Caenorhabditis elegans: one gene and its partner. Each later gene encodes a partner of the first gene's protein in a complex. Each region holds a gene or a part of one and is shown on either strand. Other genes may lie near its edges. A codon is read from its position in the direction of its gene.

Region 1 (2,948 bases):
AAGTTCATCTACACACCTACCGTCACCCTCCTGAAACCAACCTAACTCATTATTTTCCTCTGTTTCAACTATCTCATATTTCCAATTCTATCTCAACAAATTTCCGCCTCCTCCTTCTCTCAAATTTTCCTATACTTATCAATAAATAATGGTAACAAAAACTGTTCAGAACTCAAATTTTGCAGATTGCCAACTCAACTGGGAAATTGAAAAAAAACAACTCACGGGCATTCAAGGATTTCAGAACTTTATTTCAGACGGATAGGAAGCTACAAAGTTTTCATATGAACTCAAAAAGAATCGTTCCAGTTTGGTGTGTTGACGCGACAGCATGGCCGGTGGGTGTAGGAGAACCAAGCCGCTGACCGTCAATAGGCGCGGTTGGACTCGGAGCAGATAATCGATAAACGCGTATGAGCAGCAATGTTTTTGTGGGAAGGAATAACATATCACAATTATCACTTTCTGAATTTCCAGTATGTTATGTTTTTCAGATGTTTTCAGATGAAATTTTCTTTAATATTTATCCCGCCAAATTCTTTTTCCTTAATTCTTATTCGGAGTTGGACATCGTTATAGGGCAGATCATAATTTCCGTTTAAATAGGATACTCTCAAGAAATATCTGCCAATGTTCATAAAGAAATGACGTTTTTTTTACTACCCATCTTTAATAACATTAAATTTAGTGTCTTAGTTAGCCTCAAACAAGTCTAAACCCACAGAAAATCCTATGAAATGCTAATTCAAAAATACTGCGGTAGAATTTTCCGGCCAATTGTTGAGCTACTACAGATTAGCAGACGATAATTGAGTAACGCTGATTTTTCAGAACAAGTGCTCGAATGAACGTTCATAATTTCCTCAAAATCTTTTTTGATAATATTTCTTCTATTTTTTAATTTGTTTCTTTTGAAAAACAATTTTCAAAATGTGATATGGTATTTGATCGCGTTAGCTTTTCGCTTTTGGTACCAATTTTTTTTTCAAGTTTGACCCGAAAAAAAAATATTTTGGTTCATAAGTTGGATCAAAGTTAGGTCAAACGTGGGAGCAGCCTGAACCAAGTAGTGTCCGTCTTTTTCTTCAACTCTGCAAAATTTTGCACCAAATTAATATTTTTCGGCCAAACTTGGGCAAGAAGTTGCCTCCAGACCAGGCGACGCAGATCACTATTTTGAAGTCACATTGTTTCCTCCTACATTATCGTACTAATTTTTGATTAAAATTCTCATGAGAGTTCATTATTATTTTGATTAATTAACTTTCAAAATTTCCGAATTTTCTCCCACATTTCCATTGATATCCGTTTCTCTCTCATGCACTATAGCTGCATAATGAATCAGAATTATTCTTGGTTACCAAGAGCTCAGATTCTGTAGCAATCTCAATTGCTGGGTTTACCCACCCCTTCGTGATGCTCCGCCTATTGCACTTTATGATTATACTGATTTTTAGAAAGAGAAGGGGCGTGGCACGTGGCTTACGCAAAGAGATGGATTCGGGGGCCCCTCCCAACTGGAAATTAGTATAAATACTTAGAATATTTAAAAGTTATCATCGTCTTCATATCTTTTGACGAGTATCTAGCAACTCCCCGTACTCATTTTCCGTTATCCATATCATTATAATGAACTCTGTCTTTACTATCATCTTCGTTTTGTGCGCACTCCAAGTCGCTGCAAGTTTCCGTCAATCCTTCGGTCCTTCAATGTCTGAAGAATCAGCAAGCATGCAACTTCTCCGTGAACTTCAACACAACATGATGGAATCAGCTCACCGACCAATGCCACGAGCAAGACGTGTTCCAGCACCAGGAGAAACTCGTGCCTGCGGAAGAAAACTCATCTCTTTAGTCATGGCTGTCTGTGGAGATCTTTGCAACCCACGTAAGTTGAATTAAATGTTTACATAATTCAATTATTTATTTCTTGAACTTTCAGAAGAAGGAAAGGACATTGCGACTGAATGCTGCGGAAATCAGTGTTCTGATGACTACATAAGATCTGCTTGTTGTCCATGAATTTTTACCTTTACTCCGATATCAGTCTCTGTACCATACAATCTCGTTTTTTTGAATCTCGTTTCACCCGTGTCTCATCAAATCTGTCATCCCAGTGGCTTGTACAATAAACCTTGATTGAAATAGAACTTATTTCTTCGTTTGTTTACGGAAGTCTATTTCCATGCGAATTTGGGTGGTTGAAACTCGGGTTAATTGTTCGGCGAGTGCCAAAATGAGCAGTGCGTTCTCTTTCCGCGTCCTTCATCCACTCTAACACTTCCGCCAGTTTATGCTGCTCTTTGAAGATATCACGTGACTTTGAGTAACACCTGTCAATGGAGCCGGCCAGAAATCAAAAGTGCGTTATCATTTGCATCTTCCGATTCGATTGTTGCCGAGTGCATTGTGTAGTGCAAAAAAATCAGAATCCGGTGACGGGGCAGCTGATTGATGAGTCTAAAGCTTTAGAGAGCCCGACACACTCCGGAAGTTGAAGTTACCGAAATTTCAGATTTTATTCGCAGCAACAAATGCAAAAACAACAGCAAATAACTATACAAAAAGAGCTTGAATAAAATTATGTTTTTGCTATTTCGTTTTACGAAGAGTCGTTCGTATTCTAATTATCACTTTGCTTTACTGTTATTTCGACTACCCAGAAATACATAGTTGTATGGAATTAAAAATTCACTGACTATGGTCAGTAAGTTAGATGTCTGCGTTTAGGCCTTAGGTGTGTATTCAAAGAGCATTCAAATTAAACTAGCTTACAAATTCCAATTTCATGTTTAAAAAGCTGAGCATGTTTACAATAAACAGCTAGACATTTCTAATCGATAAAATGAATTTTACATTTTTTTAAACAATACTAAAATGTAATTTGGGCATACACAATTGTATGGAAGTTAAAAATGTTTGAGCTAGAACTTAGAAATGCCATTAGT
Region 2 (3,645 bases), on another chromosome or scaffold:
TACATATCAGAAACTTTGTTTTAAAAACAACAGATTTTTCTGGATAAATTTCAGTTATTGCGGTCGTCGTCACTGTTCATAAAATGAATGAAAGGAAACTTATACAATTTAAAGATTGGGAATAACACAAAAAGTAGGTTCGTAACAGAAAATAATACTTCGCTTTTTGTTTAGACCACTACTAACTATGTAAGTTTTACTTCAGGTAGATACGTTTTTTGACAATAAACAATAGTCTCGGTTAAGTTTGACCACGGCCGAAAACAATAATTGCCCAAGTCTTGCCCAAATTCAAAAAACAAGTTTTACAAATTTTTAAACCATGTTCATATTTTTGGGCAAAACTTTGGCGCGCAATTGTCGACTGAGTGAACAATGTTCTACTGTCAGTCTTGCACTTTTTTCGGATTTTGAGAATTGTGGTATGTCAAGATTTTTGATTACTCAAGAAAAATATATTAATTCTAGTTTCTACGTGTGGATCTTTTACAACTTTTTAAATTTTGTGCCCCTTAGTCACTTAGCCCAACTTCTCATGACCAGTCAAAGTTCAACAAAAATCCGGAAATGAAATGCAGTGGAACTAAAAATAAGAAATGCATAGTTCAGAAGTTTTTGAGCATTGACCGGATGGGCATCAGTGAAGTGAAACCTAGCCAGGCTCGAGTTTTTTTCAAATACACACGGTGCGTGGGTCGTATAAAAATAACTTTATATTGCGGGTTCAAACAGACTACAAGGCGTCTAGATAAATGTGGGGGTCTGTAAAAAATTTAACCGTGCAACGTCATTCGAATTAGTTCCAGTTCCAGTTAAAGTTTTAAAGGGGCGAAGTAGCTTTTCTGCTTTTTTGAATAATTTGTTAACTTTAAAAAATCCCCAAATTATCAAACCGCTTACTGACACAGCGCGAAAACATTTTCAGCTAAAAAAAGCAAAAACCACAACATGCAAAAAGGTTGCTAATTAAATATAAACAATTTGACGACCACTGCGTTGGTATTATTTTTAGAGTTTCCTTTAATAAAAATTGATATGAAAAATTTTTAGATGTCTTATAGTAAGATGCGCGAGTTGGATATTCAATTTAAAAAAACCGATTTCCAAACTTTTGTTTGCGACCCTACCCACATTTTAGCAAAATTCCTTCTAGGATCAAAGGAAAATCTTTTTGATTTTTGATAATTCTACTATGACTCGTATATGAAGTTCAGTCTTTAGTCTTGCCGGAAGTTCAACATTCAATTTTAATGTACATCCGGAATGAGGTATACTTTAAAAATTATTACGTGAACCCTATTAGGCAAGGCAAATCTTCTCGTCTGAAATAACTTTCACTAAAAATCGAACATCAAAGTCTTAACCACTGTTCATATTGAGTTGCAATCCAATAAAAAAAATTATTAAGAGTAACACCGAATGATATTTTCCCAGTCTGTCTAGACTACCTATTTAAAAAATCGTGCGAAAGGTTACAGGAATGCAACTATAAAGTTTTATTCTATGAATATCATGTCTATTCTTTAAAAAAATCCATCTGTTGGGTTATCTCATTTGCAGGTTCTTAGAAGTTTCTAAAAACTTTATATTAATAACGCCTACTGCTAATGGCTGTTCTAGGGACAATTTTTATAGATAAAATTCAGACCAAATACTATGGCAGAAAAATTAGATTCTATGTAAATTTGCAGTCGTTACGTGATTTGCTACGATTTTTCCCAGTATCACCTAATTACGAGCCATCCGCCGTTTTTGCTTGACTGGTTCCTCCAGTTCTTGATCAAACTCGTACGAAGCACATTAGGATGTTCTCATCCGACGTCATAATCTGCATATGCTTAGATCTCCGCCCCTTCACAGAAGCAGAAGAAGACAATGGGGCGGGAATGCATATACGGATAGAACTGACTCCCGCTCCATTTAGGCCCGCCCTCTAGTAGCGGTCCTATAAAAGGCCCGTTCAGGAGTACAACGACAACACAGTTCATTCAATTGTTTGACCTCCGGTGGAATGTTCGCTATTGCCCTTCTCTCATTTTTAGTTGTCCTTATCAATGCACATCCTCCAATGCATGCGGAAGTAAGTTGAGAGTCCCGATTTTATTTTATTGTTTGATTCCAGCAATTTAATATCTAAATTAAATTATTTTCAGATGCACTCAGCTGTTGTTACTCTAGCTAATGAGATAGATACAAACTATCTCACCTCGCCAGCAAAGATAAAAATCGTGGCGCCATTGGAAAGCGCGCTGATTCCTGGAGGAGAAACATATCAATTGCGATGTGATATAATGTCCACTCCTGCTGCTACCATTCATTGGAAGTTCAATGGAAAGTTGATCCAGGGAAGTAATGAATTGAATGTCGAAGAGAAGTTGCTGAACTTTGGAAAAGCAATTGTTGACACTGGAATTGTTGCCTCCATACTCACCATCCAGTGCCCATCAGCTGAAAACTCAGGAACATACAGTTGTGTCGGATACAATGGACATCAAACAATAGAAACGGTTGCCGAAGTCGAAATTGGTATGTTGTATAAAACCTGAAGTAATTTGGATAAATATTTAATTTTTCAGAAGGAGAAGCTTCGGGGTGTAGATCAAATCACAAATCCGCACCTGAAATTGTTTTCTGGACTGATTCTCGTTTTGAGATGACTGGAAACGTGGCCACCCTTGTCTGCCGCGCAAATCAGCAAGTCGACTGGGTATGGATGTCCAACGATGAGCTTGTAAAGAACAATGACAAGTTCACGGTTCTTTCAAATGGAGATCTCGTTATCAAAAACATTGTATGGGACGATATGGGAACATATACTTGTATAGCAAGAAACCAATTTGGAGAAGCTCGCCAAGAAACATTCCTTTACCCAACCGCGAAAAAATCTTCTTTCTAAATTTATCACTTTTCACTCATTTCATAATAATTCCGCGTATTTCCCAAAGACATTAGAAATGTCACAAAACATTGTTTTCACGTTTTCCCTTCTTCCCAAAAAATGCTCCATTGTTCGAATTCAACCGATCTTTGATTTACTAGTATGTGTTCTCCCCGTGAATCCTTTTTGATATCCTATAATTTCGTTAATATGATTCTCAGATTCTCAGACGAACAATGAATATTCCTCCTTGTAAAAATGACAATTATCTTGTTAGAGACATTCACAGACAGGTTTCAAAGATATTACACACAAGTTTGTATAAAAATCTGAATAAAAATCTGAGTCATCTTGGTTTTCGGGCGGGGTAGCGCCATTGAGGGAATTGTTAAAAACACCTCCTATGGTACCAAGTGTTATTGTTAAACGTTTAAAAACTGTCCTGAAAAATGTTTATTGATAAGTCGCAATTACTGACTACTGAGTGAGTATTTGCCATATTTTAAAAGACGTCAATAAAAAATTTTCCTCTAAATTTTTTTCATTTTTTTAATACTCTCCGCAAATTATGAGCCTGGAGAAAACGTAACTTGTGAAAGTTTAATGTTAAGAAATAAACGTTGATGAAAGTCAGCATTTTGTGCTAAATTTTATACATACAGTGCGCACACCCCTCCAATTTGGAGGATTTATAGCGTTTCAAGATATTTTTTTTAGAAAAGTGTTAGTTCAGTTTGATAGCAAATGTTGAAAATCTATGCTCCCCA

Evidence for each region.
Region 2: the proteins of ins-6 (region 1) and zig-4 are in contact, whole or in part, in a crystal structure (PDB 8TK9), measured with the Caenorhabditis elegans proteins. Residues at the interface, in NP_495198.1 of Caenorhabditis elegans: Pro60 (codon at 1,807), Glu64 (codon at 1,819), Thr65 (codon at 1,822), Ala67 (codon at 1,828), Cys68 (codon at 1,831), Arg70 (codon at 1,837), Lys71 (codon at 1,840), Leu72 (codon at 1,843), Ser74 (codon at 1,849), Leu75 (codon at 1,852), Ala78 (codon at 1,861), Val79 (codon at 1,864), Cys96 (codon at 1,969), Cys97 (codon at 1,972), Asn99 (codon at 1,978), Gln100 (codon at 1,981), Cys101 (codon at 1,984), Ser102 (codon at 1,987), Asp103 (codon at 1,990), Ile106 (codon at 1,999); in NP_509335.1 of Caenorhabditis elegans: Lys47 (codon at 2,223), Val49 (codon at 2,229), Met70 (codon at 2,292), Val106 (codon at 2,400), Thr108 (codon at 2,406), Gly109 (codon at 2,409), Ile110 (codon at 2,412), Asp169 (codon at 2,639), Ser170 (codon at 2,642), Phe172 (codon at 2,648), Thr175 (codon at 2,657), Trp221 (codon at 2,795), Met224 (codon at 2,804), Gly225 (codon at 2,807), Thr226 (codon at 2,810), Glu241 (codon at 2,855), Phe243 (codon at 2,861), Tyr245 (codon at 2,867), Pro246 (codon at 2,870), Thr247 (codon at 2,873), Ala248 (codon at 2,876).

What each region holds. Positions count from the first base shown.
Region 1 is NC_003280.10:5,998,864-6,001,811, forward strand, and holds ins-6 (putative insulin-like peptide beta-type 5), read left to right. Parts: upstream 1-1,572; 5' UTR 1,573-1,629; coding exon 1,630-1,888; intron 1,889-1,942; coding exon 1,943-2,022; 3' UTR 2,023-2,146; downstream 2,147-2,948. UniProt on the Caenorhabditis elegans protein: Probable insulin-like peptide which negatively regulates synapse development at the neuromuscular junctions. Probably acts as a daf-2/InsR agonist ligand to prevent dauer formation under optimal environmental conditions.
Region 2 is NC_003284.9:7,923,458-7,927,102, forward strand, and holds zig-4 (Zwei Ig domain protein zig-4), read left to right. Parts: upstream 1-1,976; 5' UTR 1,977-2,011; coding exon 2,012-2,080; intron 2,081-2,153; coding exon 2,154-2,526; intron 2,527-2,576; coding exon 2,577-2,896; 3' UTR 2,897-3,138; downstream 3,139-3,645. UniProt on the Caenorhabditis elegans protein: Required for maintaining axon position of PVQ and PVP neurons postembryonically in the ventral nerve cord (VNC) by preventing axons drifting into the opposite side of the VNC that could occur during body growth and movement.